Canis lupus familiaris: one gene and its partners. The protein of the gene in region 2 interacts with the protein of the main gene of each other region in a biochemical or structural test. Links are inferred from orthologs where the notes say so. Each region holds a gene or a part of one and is shown on either strand. Other genes may lie near its edges.

Region 1 (4,441 bases), on a different chromosome or scaffold from region 2:
TAGAATCTTTAAAAAAATAAAGAGGATCCTTGCAAAGAAGAGTCTGGGGCACGCGGACACCTGGATCACATCATCAATAAAACTACATGGAAATTGTGTGTCAGAAAGGTCAATGAGCAAAGCAGGACAAGAACCAGGCACAGAGAATGCCAATGCTCACACCTGTAGGTTAGGAAGACACACCTCTGAGGGTGTGATGTGAGTCACCTGGAGTGAGATGTGGGCAGTGCAGGTAGCAGGAACTTCTCAAACCACAGCCAGGCCTGGCCCCCAAGGAAGGGCTCGACAAGACTGAGGCTGTCTCCACAGAGAGTCACTGGGAGCAGAGATGCCATCCCACCTGCAGGACTGAGGGTGACCACTCTCCAGGCCTCCCGCTGTCCCTTAACAAAGGCCACTCTGTCCTGGGCTCAGCTCAGCTGGAGCTCTGGCTTACCAGTAAAAGACAGTGTCAGGGATGGACATGGGAGACTGGGGAGGGAAATGTAGGGAGCTTTGGGGAGCAGAGACTCCGGATTCAGTGGGAGGGTTCTCTTGTCTGCCTGGGGAAAGCATAGTGGGCCAGCTGGGAGGTGGGTCATTTCACAACAGCTCCACCAGGGGTCATCGCAGCCCCAGACTGGCCGCGGGTGGGGGGGCGCAGAGGGCTAAACCAACCTCTTCGGGGCCCTCCACCCACCCTCCTTTCCCGGAGCTCAGAGAGACAGATGTCTAGCCAGTGGGATGGTGGCGAGGGGACTGGTGGTAGAAAAATTAGGTTTGAGACTTCTGTGCTGTCCCGCTGATGGTTGTGTGGGTGTGTAGGTGGTGTGTGTTTATGTGTGTGTGTATACAGATAGGCACACACTTAATGAGAATCTAGTGATCACAGGTACACACAGGTGGCCCTGTGTACGTGTGAACAGGGGCGTGGTCAGAGACTCAGACAATGGTATGGACATAAGTAACATGAATGGACATGCGTGAATGTGTGAGCATGACCGTGGGTATGGGTGTGTGTACACGCAGGCATACATGCGATGAAATCTAGCGTCCGGGATACGTGGCATTTGTGTTCACTTGGGCAGGAGAATAGATATGACTATACATGTATAATAATACAAGTATCCGCACGAGCCCGATGTGAGTGTGGGAGCGTGCTTGCGTGAGCAATAAGCATGCGTGGGAACGGGTGTGACGCACCTTGGAAGGTCTGTGTGAACATACGAAGGGTGGTTTATGTGTATAGCTGAGAACGTGTGAGTGTGGCATTTGTGGGGAGACACATCCATGAGTGTGTACCGGAGCAAGTGTGAGTGTGAGTGTGAGTGTGCGAGCTGGCGTGTGCCCCGGGGGGCTCTGGGGAATGAGTGTGAAAGGGGACTGGCGTGTAGAACGAGCCCGTGTGAGCTCCCCAAGGGTGCGAGAGGACCTGGTGGGATGGGCTCGTCCATGTGCCCCCGCGTGTGTGCGTGTGCGCGCGTGTGCGTGCGCGTGCAGGCGGGCCAGCGGGTGCCAGGGGCCCCCAGCCCCGGCGGTCCCCGGCTGAGCCCAGGCGCACCCGGCCGGGCAGCGCGGCCCAGGCTCCCACCTGAAGATTGGCCCGGTCCTCAGGTTTCACTCATGACCCTGTGACATCAGCAGCAGCTGTCCCCGCCGCCCGCCCCCCGGCCAAGTCCCCCGGAGTCCCAGCCCCAGCCCGAGGTGGGCGACGGCGCTCCAGGCTCGGCCGCAAGCCCTCGGCTCCCGCCGGCAGTGAGTACCGCACCCCGCCCGGCCGCACCCCGAGGGCAGGCCACCCCGAGGAGCAGGGCGCCCTGGCCCCGGGCCCAGCCTGGCTTCAGGGAGGCCACCGCTTGGCTCCGGGTGCCGTCGTCCTCCCGGCCTGCCCCGGGCCCTGCTCTGCCACGGCCCGCGCCCGGCTCCCCGCGCCCCGACCCTGCGGTCCGAGCCTGGCCTGGGCCGCCCTCGGTGGGCCGCTCTCCGCCCTCGGCCGGTCGGGCCCCCTCCCTCGGCGGCGGCTGCGCTCGGCTCCAGGCGGGCACGGTGACCCCGGGGACGGACGGGGCTGAGTTTCTTCAGGGGAGGAGAGCACAGGAGCCAAACGCCTGTCCCCAGCCTGTCCCCACGGGCAGCTCAGGCTGTTCACGGTGGCTCCGAAGGCAGGGCTGTGGGGGGAGGAGAGCGGCGGGAGGCCGGGCGGGGGGTGGTGGCGGCTCCTTTGCTCTGCTGAAACAGGAATCTTCCAGATGCCAGCGGAGGACACATCTCAGGCCGCACCGCCCAGGCTCTGCCCACCGCCCCTGCCGCTCCCGCAGGCCTGGGGCGAGGCTGGGCTCCTTTCCTGGGCAAGTGGGGAAGGCAGAAAGCCTGGCCCGAGGGGAAGAAGATGGGGCCGCCGCACTGAGGGGGCTTCGGGGGGATTCAGGAGGAGCCTCAGGGCCAGGAGTGGGGCCCGGGGCAGAGCGCCGGGAGAGCCAGGCACCCCAACACCACCACCACCGGGCGGCGGGGGCGGGCAGCCGCTAGTGGAAGAAGCCGAGAGGCCTGAGCAGAGGTAGGACGAGGGGTTTGGGAGGAGTGTGGTGTTGCTTCCCAGAGGGGGGCATTTGTTCAAAGATTGGGGATCCCCATGTAGAGGGCCCTGAGGGTGGGATGGGGGCTTTGAGGCTTTCCAAGGAGGCACTGGATGGCACAGCGGGCCTGAGCGCCTTCCCGCTCCACACGGTTAAGGACTATGTCTGGCGGCCCCTCCCCCTGCTCGGGCACAGGGCCTGGGCACCATGAGGGCTCCCAATGCCCCAGGGTGGGGAGGGGGCCCTCCAGGGGGATCCTAAACATGTCCCCCTCCCACCCATACCACCTGCAGCGGGGCCCTGCGTGGAAACAAATCACCCCGGAGCCTGGGAAGGTCAGAGCCCAAACAAGCCTTGAAGGCCTTTGAGGTTAGCCTCTATGATGAGCCATCTTGAGGAGACTAGCTGGAGACCAGTTTGGCGCCGGTCTGGCTATTCTGGAGAGGGGAAGGGGTTGACAGAGAGGCAGGGAAGAGCCAATGGTGGGCATTGTTGTCCTTGGTCTATGACAAAGGCTGTGACTGCCCCCCAGAGCCCTAAGCGGAGATAAGGAGCCCCCAGGGGTGGCAGCGGGATGGGGACACAGGTGGAAGACTGGTCCTCCCAGGACCCTCCAGATTCTTCTAGGGTCATCCCCAGTCCCCTGCCCACAGCTAGTGGCCTCCTTCTATGTGGTAGTGTTGTGGACAGTTGTGGTTACCACACTAGTATTTGGAGCCACATGACCTGTGTGGGCGAAGCAGGGTCCCAGACATAACCCAAAAGGCCCTCTCCCGTCTCCATCCCAGGCAACTCTCAGGGGACTGGCTGGGATTTTTATTTTTATTTTTTTATTTATTTATTTTTTTTAATTTTTATTTATTTATGATAGTCACAGAGAGAGAGAGAGGCACAGAGACACAGGCAGAGGGAGAAGCAGGCTCCATGCACCGGGAGCCCGACGTGGGATTCGATCCCGGGTCTCCAGGATCGCGCCCTGGGCCAAAGGCAGGCGCCAAACCGCTGCGCCACCCAGGGATCCCTGGGATTTTTATTTTTTTAGTCAGGTTTTGGGAAGATAATTAAGGGTCCTTCCTAGGTGACCCTGTCCTAGCCTGGTTCTGCTTGTCATTTCTGGTTGGGAACCTGCCTGAGGTGGGGCTCAGGACTTGGAATCACCTTCCCAGCTCTAGGCTGGCCTGAGTGCCAAGGCGTGCCTACTGTTTTCCCTCACCAGGCCTTCTGGGTCCCACCCCCAGGCCAGGTCATGGGAAGCCCTGAGTTCAATACTGAAAGCACAAAACTCCTGCCAGACGATGGGCAGTGGTCCTGACAGGGTCCCTGCCTCCAGAGGCAACTCTGGCCACCAGAACAGAGAAAAGTATAGAGAGTGACAAGGATGGGGCGGGGGTAGTCCAGCTGGGGATGGAGTTGAGAGAAGTCTCCAGGGCCAGGCGCAGCCAGAGAGGAGACAAGGGAGTGGACCTTGCAGAGAGAAGTGGAAAGGCTCGCTCTCTCTCTCCAGGTGATAGGACAGAGATGCATTGAAGGGAGATGAAAAATCTGAGACCGAGTTCCCAAAGAGCAGGTAGGGAGAGGAGGGGACGAAGGAGGGTGGACGTCAACAAGCAGGGTGCAGGTTCTACAAGCCTTCCGTTCCTCGACTCCCCTTAAGGGAGGGCTCAGGCTCTGAGGGTCCTGCCACTTGCCTGCGGCACACAGCTGGTGAGGGGCACTGATGCTGGTACGGGGCTGCATGGGGGGCAGAGCTCGTCCCTGAGACTTGGAGGGGGGGTGGGGGTTCCAGCAGGCAGCCCTAGGGCTGGCTGCAGGTGCCAGGCCTCCTGCAGGGGTCCCCAGCTCGGCAGTGGCAGAGACAGGTCATGGTTCCCAGGGGCTCCTTCAAG
Region 2 (4,425 bases):
CAACCACCCACGGATTTTTAAATATCTTATGAAACACTCAATACGCAGAGATACTATGTAATTTAGATATTTTACAAATGGAAACTGATAATAAGCGGAAAATAAAATCCGTAATATCTTTAAAAAAGGTATCACTATGAATTGGTTGCCTATCCTTGTAAAACAGCAGTAGATTAAGTTAGGAGCTATGCTTTATAATCCCAGCTGTGCCTTTAACTCACTAACTCATTAACATAATATTCCATGTTGTAGTTTCCCTTCATCTACCTGAATATTTATTTTAGATGAATCTTTACATATTTTACCAATAGTTAAATACTGTGTTGTAGCATTTTCTGAGATATTAGTAATAGTTTATTTTCATCTTAACTCAGATTCGAGTGAGAGTTGAAAAGGATCCAGAACTTGGATTCAGCATATCGGGAGGTGTTGGGGGCCGAGGAAATCCATTCAGACCTGAAGATGATGTGAGTTTGTTTGTATGTTCTTGAGACACCCAGGAGATTTTATTCACTAACTTAATGCCCCTTATATGTAAGTAAAAATCCAATAGATACTTATATAAATATAGAATCACCTTTTGTTTTCTGTTGTTCAGCTTTTTTAGAAATGTGATCCACTTCAAATTTAATTGTTTGAGGAAAACAAATTAAACTGCCAATTTTACAAGTCCATCACATTGTGAAGTGATTTTTAAATTTAGTTATTACTTTTCTGCACATCCTAGAAGTAACTTTGTCACTTTAAGAGAAGTCACTATACTCAAGTCAGAATTACCAGCACCAAACATAACAAGGGATTGTAACAATATTCAGAGAAGGCAGGAAGATAACTTGTACAATGATTCAAATATATGCCTACTGTCAAAGAAAAATCATCTCTTCTATTGATGCATACTGTTTTCCATTAAGTGTTTCCCTTTTTTGTTGTTATTAAAGGGTATATTTGTAACAAGGGTACAGCCTGAGGGACCAGCATCCAAATTATTACAACCGGGTGATAAAATTATTCAGGTAACTAATATACATCTTTTTATTATTTTCTTAACTTTACATTTTATAACATCTGCTTCCTCATCAAGGAATTATTAAATGCCATATTTTAAAAATAATCATTTTTTGAAGTTTATCATTAAAAATCTGTGGATGAAAATAGTGGCATTTCTTATAGGCCACTCAGATATTTTCATAGTTTAAGATATTTCTTCCTTGAACCTTGGAAAATCATATGGATCTTTTTAAATACATGTTTGATACATCTTAGCATTTTGTTTAAGTTCAGGAATATTCTTTAAAATAAGATGGTGAAAGAATCTTGTTTGTTATAGGAATTAAAGAATTCATATCAAGCACTTAGAACTGTGTGTTTGATATATAGTAAGACCTCAATAAGTATTAAGCCTAAATTATAAGAAATGTAGTGTTTATCTGATGGTCCAAAGTGATGGGAAGAGTAGGCCTTGCCCTCTGCTGTCCTTGCATCTTGGGGACTCATTTACATGTTAGCACATACACATAACCCAATGTCTGGCTCTGTGTCTTAGCCAGGTGCTTCCTGACATTGGGTTGCCTCATAAGAATCATCTGAAAAGTAGACAAGGTACAGGCTCCCGGGTCCCACCTTCAAAGATTTTATTTTCATAGATGTGAAATAGGGCCCAGGAGTCTGTGTGATGCTGTAGATTGCCAAAATGATTCTTACTTTCAGCCAGGTTTGTGCACCGTCAGCAAAAATAGATGTATAAATGCAAATAAATTACTGTGGAATGTTTTTCCTAAAGACGTTTTTCTTCTTTCTTCTAGGCTAATGGCTACAGTTTTATCAATATTGAACATGGACAAGCAGTGTCCTTGCTAAAAACTTTCCAGAATGCAGTAGAACTCATCATTGTACGAGAGGTTTCCTCATAAGAATTGTGGACAAAGAAAGGGAAGGCAGCAAGATTTATTGGAAGATATTTGCAGGGGAAATTAATATTTTGACTATTTTTATATGTAAAGAAGAACTCAAAAAATTATGTTCAAATTTGTACATTAATGAAATAATGGAACTTGTGGTTAGAGGGAAAGAACCACTGTACAGTATATAGGGGAGACTGTTGAATTCATACCATATAAAAGTTCTTGTTAGGTTTTTAAACATAGCAATCAAGGCCACAAAAACAAACATATGTTGTTTTTGTATAGATTGTAGGTTTATTTTTGGATTTCATACACATGACTGAACTCTGTGCAAGGCTCTAGTTAGCCTTGATTGTAGCCCAGAGACAGATGGCAGAGCTATCTGTCTCATAGCTTTTATGCCCTTATTTTTATTCAACTCGTATTAATGTTTTTCTGCTGAAACTACTTTTTTTTTTTTTAATGTGGGCAAGAGATTTGAAGTGTTGGTTTTTGCTATGTGCATATTGAATTGAAGAGTGAGTAGGTGAAGGTGGTACTGGTGGGTTCACTTTCCAAGGCCAGATTAAAACAGTTAATTCCTATAAAAATCTGGAAGCAAAGACTGAAAAAACAGCTGTGTTAATGTGTTTTTATTAATAAAATAATGCAATAAAAATGTAATGTCTTTTTAAAGAAATAAAAAGAGACAATAATTGCATTTTATGAACTCTACAGGATCTGTTCTTGTCATAGCCATTGACAATACATTTGCTACTGGTGATTCAATTTTTAATTTTTTAGTCACAGGAAATTTTTAACTCTTCTGTAGATGCATGTCCATGCATTTTTTTTCTGATATGGAAATCTCTTGAGTTTTTGCAAATGGTGGTCCTTGCAATCTGTTTTATAATTAGTATTCCATTTTAATCTTAATTTATAATTTTTATTTTAAGCAGCAAATGAAACTAAAATGGCCAGTTTTAAGATTGTGTTGCTGTAACACAAAGTGTAAGCAGATTTAGGAAAGCCTCTTGATTTTGTTTGGTCTCACATTGCCTTGGTAAAGTAAAAGGAAACAGTACGCATGGAGCTAGGAAACCAAAGCAAGTTTGTGAAATTGGCACAGTGATAGAGAATTGCTGTGGAGCGTTGTAGAGCAAAGGGATGGGTCCTTGAGGCCTGCCAGTGTGTAAAGGTGTTCAAATAAAGGGCTGTTCCTACAGGTAACATTAAATGTGAACTCGACACTTCAGAGTCTTTAAAGGGTTTCTAAGTGTATCAGTGTAATAGAATAATGTTTTACCACCAGCTGCCTTTGTTCTTCGTTAGTGTAACAAATATTTCATAGATGTTTATTAATTTGTTTATCCAAACTATTAATTTTGTTTTTGTTCTGTCTGTGTAATTCAATAAAATTTGAGTAACATGCAAAGGTAAGAATTAATGCATGGTTATTTGGACCAGAAAAAAGTGCCACAGAAGACCAATAACTGTTTTTTAGTCGAGGCTAGTCTGGAGCCTTTCATTAGAGCAATATTCAGTTATTGCAATTCATTTTTAATTACTAAGAAATATAATTTTGGAATTTTTAATCTGTTATGCTTTGTTCTTCAACTTTATTTTAATTACGACTTTTATAGGATGAGCAAAAATGGCAGTTTACATTATTTTTGCAAAAAAGTTAGACTCGTTCCTTTCTTGCTAGTCAGAGTAAATAGGCAGTAATTTTGAAAAGATGTGAACTCAAATATTGCACTTCTTTCAAGATGTTATCATTTGGTTATTGTACTGTATAGTTTTAATAATATTGTGATTGAAACCCTTTAACAACTCTTTGTAAATTTTAACTCATTTTAGTTGTTTTTTCAGTACTATTTACATAGGAATTGATTTTTATGGATATAGTAGAAGAAATGTGATGTATTTTGATAAAATTCATTTACTGTATGTGTGTTGTAATCTCTAAAAAAAAATAATGACAAACAGATTCTTAAGACAAGCCTTGGTGTTCCCTTTATTCATAGGTTATTTTTTTTTCCATAGGTTATTTTAAAATATTAATTTTGACACATCACTTTTTGTTAATTTCAGTCAATTTTTCAGTCACATTCTACTTTTAATAAGGAATACATAAAATAGATATAATTGCGACATTTTCAACTGAACTACTTTATCTCAAATCAGATACACAGAGATAATTTTGGAAAAGGAAATGAGACACAGAAAACAACTGATTGAACAGTGATCTAACCTTAAGTTAATTGTCTGCATATTATACTGATACAAGTGCAGCAAGCGTTACATGTACTAGTATTGTATTTTCCTCTAATTAATTTTTTTAAGATTTTTTTTTATTTATTTATGAGAGACAGAGAGAGAGAGAGAGAGAGAGGCAGAGACACAGGCAGAGGGAGAAGCAGGCTCCATGCAGGGAGCCCAACATGGGACTCGATCCTGGGTCTCCAGGATCACGCTCTGGGCTGAAGGTGGCACTTAACCACTGAGCCACCCGGGCTGCCCTTCCACTAATTAATTTTAAAAA
Region 3 (4,339 bases), on a different chromosome or scaffold from region 2:
GGGTGGTAGCACAAACATGGTCTTCTTATGTCTTACTGACATGCCAAAATCACCAAAATAAGGAACTTAAGAATGTCAGTGGCTACATGACAGAGCAGTATCATGCTTAAAGCCTAATATTTTCACGTCGAGTCACCTGAATAGCCAGTATCTAAATATGAAAGTTGTTTACATGAAACAACTGTTTTGACAAACTAGCACAAAGTGACTAAATGAAAGCAAAGAACTTGTGATTAAAGCTCAAGATCTTTCTGTGTACTGATTGCACGTCTCAGTTCACTTAACAAATTCGAGGTAAACTGGAAAATACCCAGAAAACAGCATCTATCAACTGTAATCTATTCCCTCCGCTCTCTGAGATCATCAAAAGGCATGGAGAACTGACTTTGTCACCTGTCTTTCCCCACCCTGTAGACTCTTAGGGGAAAGAGCGTGCACCTGCCAGGCTCCCGGAGCAGAATGTACACACAGGTGGGTCTTTAATAAATATCCTTCCATGGAGAGATTAGAGGTTTGCTTGGAGAAGCGGGGAACACGCTATCTTACGTGACGACTCACTGTCAGCCTGCTTCCTTGCCAAAATATCATTCAAAGGAAATCTTGTTTGAGTCTCCTTCAGGTGGGGCTTTAAGTTTTTAGACCCAACATTTTGAGGCAAGGTCTGCCTCAGGGACAGAGGGGTGCTTGGATGCAGACCAAGTAGAATTCAGGTGGGTCAGTGACGTCAGGAAGAAGCAGCGAGTTAATGGGTAGGGTGCAAACTCACCTGGAGTAGCCGAAGCTGCACACAGGTCAAAGGTCAAAGGTCAAAGTCTCGGGGGCTCCCGGAGGCAAGACGAGCGAAATGCCCACTCCTAGGCTCTCCAGGGTTCCTACAAAGGCTCAGCGGTCGCCGCCTTGGAGGTGAGGCGAGGAACGAACCCTACGTGCACAGCTGGGCTTGACAGGAAGCCGAAGCCCCAGCTGCCTCGGGTTCCCGAGCCTGCTCCCGGGAACCCACGCACCTCCTCCCTGCGCCCCCGCCCGCCCCCAAACCCCAGGCACCTTCAGCCTCCCTCCCCGCCTGCTTCGGGCCCTCTCGCTCTTAACAGCATCGGTCTCTATGGCGACCTGAAACCGCGGCTCTCATTGGCCCGTTCAACGTGAGGGCCGGGCCAATGGGGAGGGCCGGCCTGCCGCGCCCGGCCAATGGGCTGCGCGGGGGGGCGGGGCGGGGACGGCGGCGTGCTGACGTTCCCGGGAGCCCGGGGCGGGCTGGGCGCGCGCGCTGGCGGCCGGGCGGGCGGCGGCGGCGGCCTCTGGGCAGCAGAGGGGGCTCCGGCGCTGAGTCCGGGTCGACGCCGGCCGCGCAGGCGGCGCCATGGGCACCGGCTAGAGGGGCCCGCGGGCCGCCGCCGCCGCGGGGGTGGTGGGAGAGCCGCTCCGGGGGCGGGGGCGGGCGGGGGAGGGGGGGCGGGCCGCCGCTGGGCCGCGGCACTTTTCTAATTTCCTCGGGTGCCGCAGCGGCGACCCCTCTGCGCGGATGTCCCCGGGCCCGCGAGCGACGGCGGGCGCAGCCTAACCGGGAAAGTAAGTGTGCGGGTCCGGGGGGCGGGCTCGGGGGTGTGTGGGGGGGGGCGGCGCGCCGCTCCGGGCCCCAGACCCAGACCCAGACCCAGACCCCGGCCCCAGACCCCGGCGCCCGCGCCCGAGCCCAAGCCCGAGCCCGAGCCCGCGCCGGCCGTGCGGGGCGCGGGGGTCGGCGCCTCCCTCCCTCCTGCCGCTCGCTGCGTCCCAGCGCCCCGCGGCCGCCCGGCTTCCCCGCCCCGCCGCGTGCTCCTGCCCGCACTCGCCTGCCGGCGCCCCTCCCCCCGGCGGCGCACAAGTTTCCCCCGCATTGCTCTCCCCGGAGCCCCCCGCCCCGCGCCGGACGCCGCGCCGGAGCCCCCCGGACGGCTGCCCGCGCCGGGCCCGCGCCCCCCAGCGCTCGGGGCGGCGCGTCGGGCCCTCCGGCCGCTCTCCTGCCTCCCACGCCCGGGTTGCCTGCCCCGGTTGCCTGCCCCGGTTGCCCCCGAGCCCCGCGCTCCCGCCGGGCTGCCCGCCGCCCTGGCCGGCGCGCCCCGCGCCCTCGGCGGCGCAGCCCCCGCTCCACCCGTCGCGGCCCCCAGCCCGGGGCTTCCCCGGTGCCGCCCTGCGCCTGCCAGGAGTTGAAGCGGAGCTGCGGCACCCCCAGCCCGGGCGGCTCCGGGGTCCCCCCCCCGCCCCCGGCCGGGAAGCGAGGGCTGGAGCGGCGGGGCCGGGATCGGCGCGGCTGAGTGCGACAGCGGCGGGCGCGGGCAGGGGAGGCGCCGCGGCCGCCCGGGGCGCAGCGATAGGCAGGTGTGTGTGTCCGGGGGAAGGGGGGGCGCGCAGCGGGCTCGTCGGCTGGCGACAGATTGTGCAGGAATGCGAGGAATGCACCAGGGGCATAGTCCGGGCGGCCCGCCGCCGCTGCACTAGCGCCTTCCCGGCCCGGCTCCCGCCGCGCAGCCCGAGGTCGCCGGAGCATCCTCGGAGCTGGTGAGCGAAGCTGCGCTCCCCCGCGCCCGGCTCCCCGCGCCTCGCTCCCCCGCTCCCGGCTCCCGGCTCCCGGCTCCCCGCGCCTCGCTCCCCCGCTCCCGGCTCCCCGCGCCTCGCTCCTCGCTCCCTGCGGCAGACGGCGGCGGAGGGGAAGCGCGGCGGCTGTGTCGGGCTTCCGCTAGCCTCTAGCCTGGGTTTTGCTGCATTGGTCTCCAGGACCGGGGTTTTGAGGCGGAGGGTGGTGTAGCCAAGGTTATTCATCATTGCACAAGGTTCTTGGCAAGTTTGGTTTGCAAGGTTTGAATAGAGCCTGGTTTTTACGAGGGTTTTTTGAAAGCCTGCAGGAAAGGTGCCCAAGGTTCTTGGAGTAGTGAGCTTGCAGCCAACGCATTTTAGCTCTAGCAAAAATGTCTGTTAATGCTCATGGGTAGGCATGTGTTGCAAGAGAACTCGAATGCATCACTTTGCTATCATAAGAATTGTAATTTTTTTCTCGTCATGCTGGGTTGTGTTTAGACCTCTTATAATACATGATGAATAGAAACAGAGAAGCAGTGTTTGGTCAGCGATGGGACAGATAGAACTGTCTGGTACAGCTAAATTCGGGGCGTGTCAGTTACCACTGGAAGTAACACGGGGACAACACAATCATGTATATTTCAAGATGTAATTTATTAGTTGAGGTCGTCGTTCTTTTTGTTACCGAGTTTGACTGAAAAACATAAATAGAACCCTCCAACTTTTAAAGAATTGTAGTCATGTATAAAAATCATAATGATGCATATATATTTTTTGGTCGAATTTTATTTTCTTTAATGCAGAAAAGCAGATTTTTGACAGTGCTTTTCTAGAATTGGACTTAGATTATTTTATTTTAAAAGGGGAAGTAGAAGACAGCTTCTCTTCTTGAATGCAGTATATTGCTATAGAAGTATCTTCTTGTGCCTGTGAAACAGTTATGGAAATGGTAACATGAAAATGAGAACAACTGAGGTCCAAAATAACATTTCTGGATGTTGAAAAGCATACTATGTGTGCCTTTCTTTGACACAGTTTGCTCTGGAGGTTGAGTTTACTATAAGCCTCTCCACACTTGGTTATTTTGTATCAGATTCAGGAAAATAATAAGTTGATTGTCTAGCTGTCTTCCAATACCTACTTTGTGTGGAGCAAATGCATTGAATAGTATAAGATGAGAACCTTTTAGTTAGGACTCAACAGAAAGGAAAGATAGAAGGGGGGAAATAAAACCCAAAACTTTGCACCTGGAAACGTTGCGTCTTTTGCCTGCTACATTGTTTTTTAGGTATGTCCTTAATCTGTGGATCTTTTAATTTAGAGGCTTAACTCTAAATTAGTAACACTGTATTGGATATTGGGACGTGTTTATAGATGCCAACAGGAAACTTGTTATGTAACAATATCATATTACAACAGAGTAGAGCACCTGCTTATTTGATTTGATGTGAAGATTAGAAAGTAAAAGCACTTTCAGTTTCTCTGCTACATTAGAAATTGAAACAACTGGTCTAAGTGTATAGGTTATGTATATACATGATTGGCTGTACAAATAGTTTTACTTGCTTCAAGTAAAGGTAGGCTTTTAGTTAGAAATATATTTTAGTTGTTATAGATATTTGAAGGGAAGTTTCAAAAATAGTGATCATTCACAATCAATAACTGTGTTTTGGCCAAAGTCTATTCCCTCACCAACCCCCACTATTACATAAGAAGAAGGTGCTGCATTTCACATATTGTATGTTACCACATATTGTATGTTATGCTGAAGATTCCAAAGATT
Region 4 (4,379 bases), on a different chromosome or scaffold from region 2:
CCCCGGGAGTAAACATCTCAGGGAACGTGCCGCTGTTAGGAGTCGGCAACGGAAGGGGCTTGTCCTCGGAGACAGCTTCCGAGGTGTACTTTCTGGATCCTGTGTCTGAACGCAGCTCGCCTCTTGCCCTAGGAGGCTGTGACTGGGGAGCCCTGTGCTTACCGCTCCCCTGCTCTGTCACTTCGTAAAACTCGGGTGGGTTTAGGCTCCGAGGCCGACAGGATTCAGCCTGGAGCAGCAGGTGGTCAAGCGCTGAATCCTGCTAATGGCTCCAGAAAGCCATTTCTCCTGTGCTCCCCAAGTGCTTCCAGTAATAGAAACTGGTGGATGCCCTGAATTCTGACTGTCGTGATCCTCCCCAGCTCTCGGGGCCACCCTGCGTTCTCGGGAGTCCTGTCGGACCCACTGAATGCAAAAGCATAGGAGACAGAAGACCAGGGCAGTCTTTCCAGGTCCTGCTGAGGACGTGAATTAGCTGGACCTGGAGGGAGCCGACCTAGAAGAGAGGCCAGGAATTCCAGGTGACAGAGGAGCCAGATCGGGGCTGCGAGGAAGATGCGATCAGCAAGTGGCAGATCGGAAACAGAAGTGGGCAGAGAGAGGCAAGGGAGCCGGCCGGGGTGGGTCCGGGAGACGGGAGATGATGGATGAAATTATGAGGGGAATGTCTGATGGGTGGAGGATAAAATCCGCACAAACTGGGATTTTAAACATAAGGAGATAGTCCCCTGAGAAGATGTAGGAGGAAGCATTGAGGTGAACATGGAGGAACCGCGAGGAGGAAAAAAAAAAAAAAAAAAAAAGATGATTATCAGAGAAGTAGAAACTGGGATTAGCTCCTAGGCTGTGGGTGGTAGGGAGTGTTCTGGAGTCTGGGGAACAGAAAAACAACAACAGGGACATGCTTCAGGGCGGCAGGAAGTGCCAACCTAAGACAGGCCGCTGGGGAGTCTCCGAAGGCCCCCGTGTCCTCACTTCTGTCCTCCCCCTAACTGAGACTGTGGTGCATGGACATAGGGGTTTGGGGTGAGTACCAGACAGCAGAGGCCGAGGTCACTGTCGCCCTGTTCAGAGCCGGCAGCATGATGGACGTGCATGATGTCTGTGCTCTGCTGGCAGCGTTCACCGTCTCCGTCGGTCCTCACCAAGAGACGGGGGAGGTTCCATGTGCCCTGCACTTCGTAGGTGAGGAGACTGAGGCTTGTGGAAGCCGTGGAGCCTGGGTGAAAGCAGGCCGGTTCCTCCAGCGGCCCTGATCCTGAATCAAGACAGAGAGGGGTGGAGAGGCACTAAATTCAGAAGTATTTGATGAGTGGAAATTCAGAAAAAAAAAAAAAAAAAAGAAAACCTATGCCTTGAGATCAATGAATGATGGAAGCAGTTGTAAGGTGACCGCGTCGTTGTCGTGGAAGGAAGAGAGTGACCGCGAGAGTTAAGACCTGGCATGAGCGAAAGGGACGGCCACGTGGGTGGAGTGGAGAGAGGAGAAATAATTGAGTTGCCATGAAAATAGCCCGAGCGGGAATCAGAACCAAAGAAGAGGGCAGGAGGGTGGTTGGGTGAGGAGGAGACGTAACCGGCTGCGGTGGTCCCTCGGGGCTTCGGGTGCCTTGCTTGCTTGAGGCCCAGAAGAGCGGGGTCTGGGAAGGAGGCGCCGTCGGCTCTTTACGCGTCGATGCTTTTTACTCTGCTCCCATGCTTGTTCCCTTCCTTTTTCAGGTGGAGTGCTGCTTCTGCGCCGCCGCAGCTGAAGGATGCTCTGCGCTCCCTGGCTTTCCATGGAGACCTCCGAGCCGGGTTGGCCCCCGCTGACACCTCGCCTCGTACCTTCTCTACCTCCCAAGCTGTTCGCCTGTGTCGCGAGCTCGGCCCGGGCCCCGCGCCCCGGAGGCCTGTGCTGAACCCAGGGAGCGGCCGCGGGCTCTGGGCGGCGATGGCCCGACGCGCTTCCAGCCGCTCGCCCGCTCGGGTCAAGCCGTCACGAGAAGGCAAGTGCTAAGACTAAAGGCTTATTTGCATTTTATTTAAATCTGATGGACCGAGCTTTGGACGATTTCCATGGCAGAAAAATCCATTCCGTTTTCCAGGCACAAGTGCTGGCCGTCAGATAGCCGCGGCCTTTGAATCCCGGGCGGCGGCGGTGGCCAGTTGGGGCCGCGCTTCCAGACTGCGCCTGGGCCCCGGGCGCTGGGGGCCCCGGCGGGGACTTGGGCCCGGCGCGCGCTACCCGGACGGGCCGGGCCTGGAGAGCAGCGCTCGTCCCTGGGAACCGAGAGCATGGGGCGTGCTGGTTTAAAAACGGAAAATGCAAAGTTGGACTGAAAATATCCTCAGTCTTCCGAGCAATCTGCTGAACGGTTCCAAACTTACCTTAGTGTGGTGAGGCGGGGAGCTGCCCCACTTTCCGTCGCCCGCCTCCCGCGGCCATGGAGGTCGCGATGGTGAGCGCCGAGAGCTCGGGCTGCAACAGCCACATGCCCTACGGCTACGCGGCGCAGGCCCGGGCCCGGGAGCGGGAGCGGCTGGCCCAGTCGAGGGCCGCGGCGGCCGCGGCGGTGGCGGCGGCCACGGCCGCGGCCGCGGAGGGCGTTGGGGGCCCCGGGGGCGGCGCGCACCAGCAGCACCAGCAGCATCAGCAGCACCAGCAGCAGCAGCTGCAGCAGCAGCAGCCCCGCGGCACCTGCCCCGCACTCGAGCCCCAGGGCGGCCGTGTGGCCCGGAGGCGCCGGCGCTCGCGGCCCAACCGGAGGAGGCCTCAGCCGCGGCCCGGCGGCTTCCCGCACGGCTCGGACCTGCTGCCCAGCGGCTCGGAGGAGAGGATCCTGAGGGAGCTGAGCGACGAGGACGAGGACGACGAGGACGACGAGGACGCCGAGGAGGAGGCCCGGTTGGGCCGCGGCCAGGACGACCGCGCGGCCCACGGCTCCTGCAGCGACCTGCTGCCCCGGGACGACGGCGCCTACGGCCCGGGCCGGCCCAGCGGCTGCTGCGAGCGGGTGGTCATCAACGTGTCGGGCCTGCGCTTCGAGACCCAGATGAAGACCCTGGCCCAGTTTCCCGACACCTTGCTGGGCGACCCCGAGAAGAGGACGCAGTACTTTGACCCGCTGCGAAACGAGTATTTCTTCGACAGGAACCGGCCGAGCTTCGACGCCATCCTGTACTACTACCAGTCGGGCGGCCGCCTCAAGAGGCCGGTCAACGTGCCCTTCGACATCTTCACGGAGGAGGTGAAGTTCTACCAGCTGGGAGAGGAGGCCCTGCTCAAGTTCCGGGAGGACGAGGGCTTTGTGCGGGAGGAGGAGGACCGGGCCCTGCCGGAGAACGAGTTTAAAAAGCAGATCTGGCTCCTCTTCGAGTACCCGGAGAGCTCCAGCCCGGCCAGGGGCATCGCCATCGTGTCCGTCCTGGTCATCTTGATCTCCATCGTCATCTTCTGCCTGGAAACCCTGCCCGAGTTCCGGGACGACAGGGACCTCATCATGGCACTGGGCGCGGGCGGACACGGCGGGTCGCTGAACGACTCCTCGGCGCCCCACCTAGAGAACTCAGGGCACACCATCTTCAACGACCCCTTCTTCATCGTGGAGACCGTCTGTATCGTCTGGTTCTCCTTCGAGTTCGTGGTTCGCTGCTTCGCTTGTCCCAGCCAAGCGCTCTTCTTCAAAAACATCATGAACATCATTGACATTGTCTCCATTTTGCCTTACTTCATCACGCTGGGCACCGATCTGGCCCAGCACCAGGGGGGCGGCAACGGGCAGCAGCAGCAGGCCATGTCCTTTGCCATCCTCAGGATCATCCGTCTGGTCCGCGTGTTCCGGATCTTCAAGCTGTCCAGGCACTCCAAGGGCCTGCAGATCCTGGGCCACACGCTCCGAGCCAGCATGCGGGAGCTGGGCCTTCTGATCTTCTTCCTCTTCATCGGGGTCATCCTCTTCTCCAGCGCCGTGTACTTCGCGGAGGCCGATGAGCCCACCACCCATTTCCAGAGCATCCCAGATGCGTTTTGGTGGGCCGTGGTGACCATGACGACTGTGGGCTACGGGGACATGAAGCCCATCACCGTGGGGGGCAAGATCGTGGGGTCCCTGTGTGCCATCGCAGGTGTCTTAACCATCGCTTTGCCAGTGCCAGTGATTGTCTCTAACTTTAACTATTTCTACCACAGAGAGACTGAGAATGAGGAGCAGACGCAGCTGACACAGAATGCGGTCAGTTGCCCGTACCTCCCCTCTAATTTGCTGAAGAAATTTCGGAGCTCTACTTCTTCCTCCCTGGGGGACAAGTCAGAGTATCTGGAGATGGAAGAAGGAGTTAAGGAATCCCTCTGCGCGAAGGAGGAGAAGTGTCAGGGAAAGGGGGACGACAGCGAGACG
Region 5 (3,686 bases), on a different chromosome or scaffold from region 2:
TAGCTTTATTCTTTCTGACTCAAAAGTGTTTCTGTCCACGGTCTCCTAGGTTTTCCCAAGGTTTCACAGCTCAATACCTAATGGCAAGAAAGCATGCCCTTAAAAAGGCATTATTTATGAAATTTCTCTAAGAACTAATAGGATACATTATATTTTAAAAATCTCTTCTTAAAAATTATGTGACTTAATAGGGACAGATAAGGGCCTGGGTGTGTTTTTGTTTTTGTTTTGTTCTTTATTTTTTGTTATGCTTATTTGGTTCTTTATGATTCAAAATTGCCAGAAAAACAGGAAAATGAGGTCTGATCAATTGTTTCAACCTCTTTCCCTCCACAAAAATCAATATAAATAACTTATCTCTAAATACTTCTAGCATTTCTCTTAAATTGCTGTTAAAAAACAAAAGGGTCCATTCTCAATCGAATCTTGGAAAATGACTTTGGAGAGGAGGAGAGAGTGAGGACAAAAATGTCACGCAGTTAGCACGTCCCTCTTGGGACAGAGTCTGCCTTGGGCACTGCTTGTTTTCCTGGAGGCTGGAGTTTCTCATGAAGGCCGTTTTTCCATCAGTGTGTCAACCTGAACAAGCTGGAACCAGTAGCAACAGAAGTCCGGCTTATCAACAAGTCTATGGAGTTGCTGGATGAGAGGAAGTTCTGGGCTGGTATCGTGTTCACCGGAATCACTCCGGGCAGTATTGAGCTGCCCCGTCACGTCAAGTACAAGATCCGAATGGACATTGACAATGTGGAGAGGACAAATAAAATCAAGGATGGGTGAGTTCAAGCCCACCACACCAGCCAGTTTGGGGGAAGTCAAGAGCAGCTAATATGACTAGAGGCACTTTGTTTTAAGTACTAATTTGGTAGAAATGTCACCAAAAAATAACTCCAATTGGTGGCATGATTTTGGTGAAAGTGGTACATCCCGTTGCCAGAGACAGTTTTTTCAAAGGTCCTAAAATAATCATCTTTTGATTCAGCATTTTCGCTCAAGAGAATTAATCCCACAGCATTAAATCAACAGGAAAAAAAGAAGAAATGGCTTTAGGATTCCTGTGCTAGCATTATCCTATTTTTTATAAAAAGGAGTGAGCAACCAACGTAAAAGGGAATGATTAAACAGATTTTGGCATGTCCACTTGCTGCAACGTTAGGTAGCCAAGGAAGAGTTTAAAACTAAACCAACCTTCTGGTGGTGGTATGCTCACTCTGATTGTATCAGTTTTAATATATGCACAGGACTGAGAGCAGAAAGTAAGACACAAATATGTTAGATGAGAACAGTGACTCGGTAACGATGGTGGATTGTGAGTGATTGGCTCTTTTAAATGTACGGTTCTAAGGAATATTTGATCACCTGTGATGTGATTTTAGGTACTGGGACCCGGGTCCTCGGGCTGACCCCTTTGAGGATATGCGGTACGTCTGGGGGGGCTTTGCCTACTTGCAAGATGTGGTGGAGCAGGCGATCATCAGGGTGCTGACGGGCACCGAGAGGAAAACTGGCGTCTATGTGCAACAGATGCCCTACCCCTGTTACGTCGATGACATGTAAGTTACCACCAAGCCACCATCTTCACGTAACAGGTTAACACTGTCCTTAGAGAGAGTACCTACACACACACATATGCATGTGCATATACCCAAAGGAGGTAGGATGCTTTGATTTTAATGATTTCATATGTGTTGTCACAAAAAAAAAAAAGTCTTTTCTGAAATTCAGTGAATAACTTTAGAAAATAAGATGCCATATGTAGGTAGTTCCAGCCACATCACTGACACACATGTGCACATCCTGGTAATCCTCCCTCTTTTTTCATCTGTGGTTACCAGCAGTTATATTGTTTACATACCCTACCCTTTTGGTCAAAGTTTTGCTCAATCTGCAATTTTTTTTTTTTAAGATTTTATTTATTTGTCCATGAGAGACACACAGAGAGAGGCAGAGACACAGGCAGAGGGAGAAGTAGGCTCCCTGTGGGGAGCCCGATGTGGGACTCGATCCCAGGACCTGGGATGAGGACCTGAGCCAAAGGCAGACACACTCAACCGCTGAGCCACCCAGGTGCCCTCAATCTGCAAATTCAACATGTGGCGTGACAAACACCTGCAAGCACATACACACATACATAGATCCCTCAAACACAGAAACATTGATCTAGACCTATAAAAGCTGACTCCATGTCAGTTCATCCGCTTACTCTTTATAAGTGGTAAACCACATTTTGAAGCAATCCAAATAAAACTGAACAAGGCCTTTTTATCTTAGACTTTAGATAATCTTTCTGTGCTTAGTTACTAAGCTGCCAAGATCTTGTGGGAACTGTGCCTTTGGATCTAATGATTTCTTTTTAGTTTTTTAGAGAGAGAGAAAAAAAGAGAGAGAGGAGCAGGGCAGGGGTTTGAGGAAGGGTCAGAGGGAGAGAGAGAATCTTAAGCAGGCTCTACACGGGTGTGGGGGCCCCTTCTCATGACCCCGAGATCATGACCTGAGCCAAAACCAAGAGTTGGACGCTGAACCCACTGAGCCACCTCAGCACCCCCTCTAAAGATTTCTTGTAGGAGAGCATGGGCCAAGGTGTAGTTATTACAAGCATCTGAGATATGTAACGTCTCTTCCAAATTCTGGAAATTCTCTTATTCTCTGTTGTGATATATATGTGTAGAGATCAGAGTACAGAAGGAGCAGAGCTCCTCTTCTAAACATTTGCCCTCTGCTTTGCACTGAGCAACCGTTTCCTTGTGTGGCTCACTCTAGCTCTTCCAAGTCACCCTTGGAATTATCTTGTTTTTTACCTTCAGAAAAATTAGTCAGACTTTTCCAAAAGAAACCCGCCTCCCCCCCACCCCCCCACTACCCACTCAGCCCAGATTTACTCTAGAAAGGGTGTCTTAAGAGCAGGACAGGATGGGAGCTTAGTGGCATTAAGGGACTTTGCCTGTTGTCACATTGCTGGGAAGTGCATAAGTAGTAAAGCTGAGACTTGGGCCTGGCATTCCAGGGTCCAAATTCTGTGTCCCTTTTACTTCACGGTGCTCCATTTCCTATTTTGGTTTGGAATCTGAATTATTACAAGAGCTGTCTGGAGTCTTTTTTTTGTATTATCTGTGATAAAAGTTGGGCAAGTCAGTAGTGAGATGACCCTTGAAGGTGTTGAACTCTTGAGAGAGAAGGGGTTGTTTTTTTTGTTTCTTTGTTTTAGTGCTTTAAAAGTTACGTAGTTACCTAGTGATTTAAGCAAGTCCCAGAGTAATGGTGCTTGGCAGCACCTGGTAGGTCTAACAACGGTCACCACCACGTTGTGCTCCTCATGAAGCATGTGATGACCTGTATGTTTTGGAGCTTGGAGAGCCTGCCCCTTGTTCACTCAGTCTTAGTCTTGGGGCTTCTGCTGGCATGTGGGTCCAGGGGGGCACTGGCCTCTGAGCCTGATTCTCACTCCCTCTCATTCTCCCCCACCCTTCTCTGGGGCCTCCAGCTTCCTGCGGGTGATGAGCCGGTCCATGCCTCTGTTCATGACGCTGGCCTGGATCTACTCCGTGGCCGTGATCATCAAGGGCATCGTGTACGAGAAGGAGGCACGGCTGAAGGAGACCATGCGCATCATGGGTCTGGACAGCGGTATCCTCTGGTTCAGCTGGTTCATCAGTAGCCTCATCCCGCTGCTCGTGAGCGCCGGCCTG
Region 6 (3,686 bases), on a different chromosome or scaffold from region 2:
GCAATTCCACTTTTGGGTATTTATCTGGAGGAAATGAAAATATTAACTTGTAAAAAGATACATACACCCATATGGTTATTGCAACATTATTTATAATAGTCAAGATTGGAAGCACCTGAGTGTACATTGATGGATAAAGAAAATGTGGTGTGTACACACACACAAACACATACACACATAGAGGATGTTATGCTAAGTGAAATTAATTAATTGTATAGAGAAAGGTGCAAATACAATATGATCTCACCTAATGTGTAGTGTATATTGTATGTTTAAAAGTTGATAAGACAGTAGATTTTTGTTCTGTCTTTTTTTGTTTGTTTTGTTTTTTTTTTTTAGAGAGAGGAGGTTGGGGAGGGGCAGTGAGAGAGACAGGAGTTCGATTTCATGACCCTGAGATTTCAGCTGAAATTCGGAGTCATATGCCTAACTGAGCCACCCATGTGGTTTGATGAGAGAGTAGATCTTGAAAGTTCTCACCACAAGAAAAAGAATTTTTAACTATGTGTGATGTTGGACATTATATTATTGTGGTGATCATTTCACTATATGTACAAATATGAAAGCCATTTATGTTGTATACTGGAAACTAATGTAGTGCTATGTCAGTTTTATCTCCAGAAAAGTGGGGAAAATATTTTTTCCAAATTATCTTTTATTAATTAGTTGAAACCAGAGATCCTTGTTCTTTTTGTAGTAAAAACTACTGTTCGTCTCACCTGATAGTTAAGAGAAGGAAAAAGAAAAGATTCAAGAAATATCAAAGTATGGAGAAAAGACAATGATACAAAGAATGAAATTGGATAGGGAAAAGTACTTTTTTGAGTTAATTTGGCTAAGTAATCATTTTCCCCTCCTATAATTTGAGGCATGATTCTAAATGTTAAGATTTTAAACATATATTTTTTATAACTTAAGATTTAGCTTTCAGTTGTCTTTTATTTTCTATTAAATAGAATTGGTGTAGATTTAATTTTAATGTTTGATTTTGTTAAAACAGCCTTCTCCCTGAAATTTCTTAAGCTTTCCATTTTAAATTCAACCTTATTATTCTAACAGCCATCACAAAAGTTTGCAGTTTGTAGGATATGTCTTTAAATTTACCTGATGTTTATTAGCATATTTAAAGGTTTGTTGTTGTTGTTGTTATCTGTTTGTTTTCAAACAGGTATGGCTATTTATTGGCTGATTAGGGTTTGTTCTAGTGGCTGAATCCCTATCTCCTCAGCTCCCCAGTCAACCTCATATCAGTTTTTGAGTTATTAGGTTCTATATCTTGTTACATTTTGTTTTCTACTTGTTGGTTATCTTACCCTTGCTCATTGTGTTTAGGGAATTTAAATCTACTCCAAAAAATGATACTGTTAATTCCCAAACCTAGCTTGGGTCTGTGATGTTGAGATAGGTCCTGCCATGAAAGGAACTTAGGTCCTTGTGTGTGTGTGTGTATATTTATATATAAACATATACGTATATATGGGTATCGGTGTGTACACATACACATAGTTTTATTTATAGTGTTCAGCTTTTTAATTCATGCAATGGGAAAGCTATATGTCCTGTAAGAGAAAGCACTTGTAAGCCAAATTTCTTCGTTGGCTCTATGTTCCTTTTTACACTTTTCTAATAATTAAAGAAACATAGTTGCCTTAGATTGATGATTTAAAACCAGATTAAGGTCATAGCAGTGGCCTCAAGAAGCTAGTGTCATTGCTGTAAAAGCAGCTGGTTTTTGTTTTTAAGTGAGATTTAGTAGAAGGATTACTGGAATGTTTTTTGGCTTTTAAGAATTGATCATTGGATATTAATAAAAATCTTTTAAGTTGACCATGAATGACTTTTCCATTATTTTATCTCTGAGAAGAATTTTAGAAAAATACCCATTGTGGATTCAGTTTAATGCTGATTTTAATGATTTCTCCTCTGTTTGTTTATAGGACTGATTGTATAGAAAAAAAAGACAGCCCTGAAGTGTATTTTTGTTGCTGTGAGGGCAATATGTGTAACGAAAGGTTTTCTTATTTTCCGGAGATGGAAGTCACACAGCGTAAGTTCACAGGGAAAATACATAGATCTGTTCAACTAGTACACTGAAAGCAAAACATATTTTGTGTTGATGGAATAATTTACTCCTACCTTCTCCTACTCTTGTTTTTCTCCTAAAATTTGATGCTATAAATCAATAAATACTTATTGTGGAATTTTGTAGACCAAAGCTGAATTGTTTTTTTCCTTCCATTTTCCACAGCTACTTCGAACCCAGTTACACCTAAGCCACCCTATTACAACATATTGCTTTATTCCTTGGTGCCACTTATGTTGATTGCGGGGATTGTTATTTGTGCATTTTGGGTGTATAGGCATCATAAGATGGCCTACCCTCCTGTACTTGTTCCAACTCAAGTAAGTTGTCTTGTACCTTGTGCTGTTTTAAGTTGTATATTTTACAGAACTATTACTGTGGTGAAACCCACTGGGTTGCTATAAGTCATTTTCTTTTGGTGTTACTTTTTGAATGCTTATTGTTATGGCAACTATAGCTAATTTTCCAAACTTAGTAATTTGCTGTGTCCTAAACTTTTCTCACTTTGGAGCTGAGGTAAGGTAGAACAAAGGGTATTCTGTTCTTTGGACAGTTTCACTGTCATTGTAATACTTTCAAGTGTGAGATTTACCCAGCTTTGTTTCTTGAGAAGTAATTGATGGATAAGTGATATCATAACCTGTCCTTTCTCTTCTTTCTTCCATTCCTTAATTCTTTTGCCTTTTTCAAGACTACTTGCCAAAATATCCTTTTAACCATAGGGAGAGTTTTAGTAAGGTGATCCAGAAAGTGTGGAAAAGGAGGTTTCACAAAGGCATCAGGAAGCTATATACGAAAAAATGTTTCTGGGAAGAGGAGCAGATGAGCAATGCTTTTCATCATTTATTAGTAATAGTTCAAGTGTTTTTTGTTGTTATTGTTTTTGCAGCATATCAAGTGTGTACTGAAAACTAAAAAGCTTTTTTTTTAATACTAAAAATTTTTTCAATGCCCTCGATGCTCCCTCTCCTGACCCCAAATCTACCTTAAACTATAGATATGGTGGGTAATCAGATTAAATTCATGAAATTTTCCTCTTTCTCTATCACATAGACAGTTGGTACTGGTACAATGGTTTACAAGTTCTTTTAATATAAGTAGCTAATATTCTGCAAACTCAGGAAGGGTGAAAACTGTAGTTATACTTGTTTGCGACATCTTCAAACTCTAGTTTTAACTGTGTTTCTTTCAACTCTTAAGATCAGATTACCTTGGCCTTTTGGATCTGTGGTTTAACTGTTACTCTAATACTAGGATTAATGGTTAAAACGTGGTAGAAGAATGGTAAAGTCCTATAATTTAATGACCAAAACAACTTCTTCTCTGTAAGCTTTATTTACATAACATACTACTTTCTCAGTACTTGGCAGCAATCTGTTAGCATTAGGTTATTGATCCACATAATCTTTGTAAGATGTATACATGGAGAAATAAACCCAAAGGTAAAATACCTTATTCAGTAAATTAGGTAAACACTGTTTTGTGCAGCTGAAATATTTTAACTTTTAAACCTTAGTTACCAACTTGTGGATTTATTAAAAATTATCTCTGAAAGTATTTTAAAATAAAAATTTTCGCTGCCTAATAAACAGATGTAGCTTAC
Region 7 (3,686 bases), on a different chromosome or scaffold from region 2:
ACACAGTTGTCATGGAAATGGCTGCCTAGGGAAGGGACTACTAGGGATGGGGCAGGGCCCTGAGGCTGGACCGCCCTGCAGTCGTCATGGAGATGACCGCCTGGACAACAGGGTGAGCGGCACCTCCCTGGTGCCCAGCGCACCCACCAGGCCTGGACAGCAGGACAAACAGGGACTCACCTTGATGGAACCACTCCTCTGGGCGGCCGGAGGAAGCACAGGAGAGAGGAGACGAGCCTGAGTGGGCAGCGCCCTCCCATGCCCTCCCAGGAGGCCTCGACTTCCCACTGCACACCCCAAGTTGAATAGACGGGTCGTGGAATCCCACCCAGATTACTCTGGAGGGCTGAGTGCCCAGAAGTGGAACAAAAAAAGTGGAGGCCTGGGGTCAGAACAGGTCCACATGGGGGGCAGGGGAGGAGGGCAGGTGCCAGGGAATGTAGATCCTGGAACCTGTACCCAGCAAATGCCGGTTGGGATGGTGTGAAGGCAGGGTGGGCATCTCAAGGTCTTCAGGTGCTCTGTGAACGCCAGGAGGCGGCATCATCTTCAGCACTTTCCACACATGGGCCCAAAGAACCCCTCCCAGAGCTGAGTCCAGGCAGCAGCAGGAACACCACATAGATTCACTCCTGCCCTCCCCTGGGGGGCCCACAGTGCAGATGAGGGAAGGCTGGCCGGTCAGCCGGATGACCCAGGGGCTCAGTACACCCTCCTCGGCAACCTGCTTTCCCACCTGCCCATCAGGAGCTGACCAGGTGGTCTCTAGCTTCTGTGATGGCCATGGGTATGGGGGCCCTTCATCCTGGAGTGGCAGGCGGAGTCCTAGAGTGGTACCCCGTCCCTCCCACACACCTTTGGCCTTCTTGCCACCGAAACAGCCAGCGTCATCCCTCCTCCGGCGCTGGGAGCCTGCAGCACTGCCTGGAGGCCCAGGCTCAGCCTCTTGGTACCTGTCAGCCCCAGGCACCTCCTTGTGTACGTGGTAGGACAGGTTCCGCATGATACACACGCAATTCTCTACCGACTGTGGGGAGAGGAGAGTTGATGGAGCAGGGTCTGGTGGGCAGAGAGGCTGCTAGCCCTCCTGGGGAAGCCCAGCCACAGCCAGTGTACACGGGAGGAACTGGGGGTGTAGAGATGGGGACCCACGTGGCTGAGGACTCCCAGGGAGGGCTGAGGAAGGAAAAAGGTGGGAGAGCCTACTGCATGTAGGACCTCGTCTGGGAGGTCACGGGTGTCCGCTCCAGTGTGGCCACTGTGGGGTGGCCCACACCCAGGGTGCTGCCCCAGACCCCCACACCTATTCCTCCTGTGTTGCCCAAAGGGGTCAGGCCCCCTGGGCCCAGTTCTTGCTCCGTCTCTCGAACCTTTGTAGGAGGTTGTGAGACTGATCCTGCTGGGGCCTGCTAGGCTCTCCCCATCCTGCTCCACTCACCTTGTTGTCCGTGTCCTTCCTGCCCACAGCTGACTGCAGGGCGTGCAGCAGGGCATCCACCAGCCCTTCACATTCCCGGAGCCGCCGCCGGGCCTCTGCGCCATCTGAACTCACGTTCCTGGGTGGCCAAGAGCGAGCCCTGTGACCCCTGGCTCCCATGGGAACTTCCCAGCCAAGCACTCCCCACTCCCAGCCTTGGGGTCTTGTCTTCATCTGTAAAATAGGGTCTGATGCCACCCTGTCAGGGCTATTGAGTGTCCTGACCACTGAGACCCTAGGGTAGAGCCCTAGTCTGCCATGTGTGTGGGGCAGGGGGCCTTCTATGATCCCAGCAGAACTGAAAGGGGACAGAACGGGGTCCAGAGTCCTGAATCCATGCACAGATAATTCTGGGCTCCCCCTACCCCAGTGGCAGTTCTGGGTTCCACCTTACCCCGTGAAGACCCCATAAAGCCATGGGGGTACATTCTGATGAACAGGCAGGACCCTGGAGACCCAGGACCACCTGTGAGGACTCTGTAGGGATACCCAGGGTGGGAGGGTTAGGGCAGAGGTCTGAGGATGTGAAATGAGGCCTCTGAGGCAGACAGGATGAGGGTCCTAGCTCCCCCTATCCTGGCTGCCGTGGTGATGGGAGCATGGGTCAAAGGTGAGTGGGGCTGGAGACAAAGGGTACTACATGAGACGGTGGCAGACCTTGTCCAGAGGCTTCCCTTGGGGCTGAGTATAATAGCCCCATCCAGTCCCATTCTCAGGACTCAGGCAGGAACTGTAGTGTGGATGTGAAGCTCCTAAAACTTGGGGGGCTAACTGTCTTCCATGTTACTGAGGATATTCCCAGGTACGCACACAGGCTCTAGTGCTTGGCTCCTGCCTCCTTGACCAAGAATAGCCCTGGGCGGCTGCACAGAGAGTGCCCGAACCCGGCCCCCACCCACACCTCAAGCAACCCGATGTGTTCTTGAAGACTGTTGTCCACTCGGCATCCCTTGGCTTGGAATCCTCATTGGGCTCACGCTCCCAGCCCGAGTGGGGCACAATGACCTCATGAGTCAGCGTCTGCAGGCCGTGGTCAATGATGACCATCTTCAGGGGCTCGTAGGATGACAGGTTCCAGAGTGTGCCTGCGGGGCGCCATCAACCAGCCAGTGCTGACCACACAAAGCACTGACCTCCCTACCTCCCCACGTGACCTCGCTCAGGACGTGCCCCAGGTCAGACCAGAAGATAGTGACAAAAGCCGTGAGAGGACCTGGGTGCCCACCCTGGCCCAGGCAAGATGTGCAAAGGCACCTAACAGTACTACCAGCCGGGAGGAAGCACCAGAGGGGCTGGGACACAGAGCAAGGGCTGGTGGGGAGCCTGTGGCTAGACAAGCAGGTGCCTTCTCTTCCCCTATCCCCTCTGAGCCACATGGGTGAATGGCACTACCCCTCCACTGGCTCCACCTGAAGGTGGTCATATTACCCTACCTGGCCAACTGGGTCCCCTAAGGCACAATTCCCCCAGCACAGCTCCCCCTGGAGGGTGGGACCTGGAGGAGTATGGGTACATAGGGGCAGGTGGCAAGGGGGCCTGCCCAAGGGGCAGAGACACTGAGGACCTCTGAGTCTAAGCCATGCCTACCCCCAGCAGCTGGACTCCTGACTGCACGGGTGGGTGGGAGGGGACATCTGTTCCTGGCCAAACCTTGCTCTCCTTCCCCCAAGGGATGACGGTGCACTCACCTGTGACGAGCTCTCGGACCTCGTTGTCCCGGGCTGCCCGCAGCAGGCGCACCAGAGCCGGCACGCCGCCACAGTCCCGGATGGCAGCCTTGTTGTCCGTGTCTCGGCCGTAGGAGAGGTTTCGCAGGGCCCCGCAGGCCCGCCGTCGCACCTCCGCCCTCGGGTGGTCCAGCAGAGCCACGAGCAGAGGAAGGCCCCGCAGCTGCCGCACGCGCCGCTTGACACCCTCATTCTCGAAGCACAGGTGCTGCAGGTAGGCGGCCGCGTTGGCTTTCACGGGGTCCACGGGGTGCCGCAGCATGGCCAGGACCTCCGGCAGCTCGGGGTCCCGCCACCGCGGCTCCTTACGGGCACTGTCGACGGAGGGCGACCGCCGGACCACTCGGTCCAGGCTGCCCAGGCTGCCCCGTTCTGGCTGGGCCAGGGGTGCGGTCGCAGCAGGAAACGGGGGCCGCTCCTCCATCAGCTCGCCGGCATCATCTGCCACTTCCTCGTAGGCCCTGTGCAGGCGGGCAGGGTGC

The links.
Region 1: the proteins of ERBIN (region 2) and SCN4A interact in a test that uses a peptide from one of them, tested with the Homo sapiens proteins (2 studies listed by BioGRID and IntAct). The link is inferred for Canis lupus familiaris from reciprocal best matches to the Homo sapiens genes ERBIN and SCN4A.
Region 3: the proteins of ERBIN (region 2) and PKP4 form a complex in vitro, tested with the Homo sapiens proteins (4 studies listed by BioGRID and IntAct, with this or other methods). The link is inferred for Canis lupus familiaris from reciprocal best matches to the Homo sapiens genes ERBIN and PKP4.
Region 4: the proteins of ERBIN (region 2) and KCNA4 interact in a test that uses a peptide from one of them, tested with the Homo sapiens proteins (3 studies listed by BioGRID and IntAct, with this or other methods). The link is inferred for Canis lupus familiaris from reciprocal best matches to the Homo sapiens genes ERBIN and KCNA4.
Region 5: the proteins of ERBIN (region 2) and ABCA1 interact in a test that uses a peptide from one of them, tested with the Homo sapiens proteins (2 studies listed by BioGRID and IntAct). The link is inferred for Canis lupus familiaris from reciprocal best matches to the Homo sapiens genes ERBIN and ABCA1.
Region 6: the proteins of ERBIN (region 2) and ACVR2A interact in a test that uses a peptide from one of them, tested with the Homo sapiens proteins (2 studies listed by BioGRID and IntAct). The link is inferred for Canis lupus familiaris from reciprocal best matches to the Homo sapiens genes ERBIN and ACVR2A.
Region 7: the proteins of ERBIN (region 2) and ARVCF interact in a test that uses a peptide from one of them, tested with the Homo sapiens proteins (3 studies listed by BioGRID and IntAct, with this or other methods). The link is inferred for Canis lupus familiaris from reciprocal best matches to the Homo sapiens genes ERBIN and ARVCF.

Annotation. Positions count from the first base shown.
Region 1 is NC_049230.1:15,031,324-15,035,764, forward strand, and holds the start of SCN4A (sodium channel protein type 4 subunit alpha), read left to right. Parts: upstream 1-1,638; 5' UTR 1,639-1,734; intron 1,735-2,298; exon of another isoform or gene 2,299-2,536; intron 2,537-4,441. UniProt on the Homo sapiens protein: Pore-forming subunit of Nav1.4, a voltage-gated sodium (Nav) channel that directly mediates the depolarizing phase of action potentials in excitable membranes.
Region 2 is NC_049223.1:50,959,421-50,963,845, forward strand, and holds the end of ERBIN (erbin), read left to right. Parts: intron 1-374; coding exon 375-467; intron 468-938; coding exon 939-1,013; intron 1,014-1,802; coding exon 1,803-1,910; 3' UTR 1,911-3,882; downstream 3,883-4,425. UniProt on the Homo sapiens protein: Acts as an adapter for the receptor ERBB2, in epithelia. By binding the unphosphorylated 'Tyr-1248' of receptor ERBB2, it may contribute to stabilize this unphosphorylated state.
Region 3 is NC_049257.1:4,568,331-4,572,669, forward strand, and holds the start of PKP4 (plakophilin-4), read left to right. Parts: upstream 1-1,441; 5' UTR 1,442-1,569; intron 1,570-2,428; exon of another isoform or gene 2,429-2,538; intron 2,539-4,339. UniProt on the Homo sapiens protein: Plays a role as a regulator of Rho activity during cytokinesis. May play a role in junctional plaques.
Region 4 is NC_049242.1:51,057,350-51,061,728, reverse strand, and holds the start of KCNA4 (potassium voltage-gated channel subfamily A member 4), read left to right. Parts: upstream 1-1,440; 5' UTR 1,441-2,426; coding exon 2,427-4,379. UniProt on the Homo sapiens protein: Voltage-gated potassium channel that mediates transmembrane potassium transport in excitable membranes. Forms tetrameric potassium-selective channels through which potassium ions pass in accordance with their electrochemical gradient.
Region 5 is NC_049232.1:61,170,462-61,174,147, reverse strand, and holds part of ABCA1 (phospholipid-transporting ATPase ABCA1), read left to right. Parts: intron 1-570; coding exon 571-776; intron 777-1,376; coding exon 1,377-1,553; intron 1,554-3,481; coding exon 3,482-3,686. UniProt on the Homo sapiens protein: Catalyzes the translocation of specific phospholipids from the cytoplasmic to the extracellular/lumenal leaflet of membrane coupled to the hydrolysis of ATP.
Region 6 is NC_049240.1:51,343,607-51,347,292, forward strand, and holds part of ACVR2A (activin receptor type-2A), read left to right. Parts: intron 1-1,937; coding exon 1,938-2,047; intron 2,048-2,248; coding exon 2,249-2,403; intron 2,404-3,686. UniProt on the Homo sapiens protein: On ligand binding, forms a receptor complex consisting of two type II and two type I transmembrane serine/threonine kinases.
Region 7 is NC_049247.1:29,511,319-29,515,004, reverse strand, and holds part of ARVCF (armadillo repeat protein deleted in velo-cardio-facial syndrome), read right to left. Parts: intron 3,666-3,686; coding exon 3,166-3,665; intron 2,563-3,165; coding exon 2,379-2,562; intron 1,557-2,378; coding exon 1,439-1,556; intron 1,028-1,438; coding exon 856-1,027; intron 199-855; coding exon 181-198; intron 1-180. UniProt on the Homo sapiens protein: Contributes to the regulation of alternative splicing of pre-mRNAs.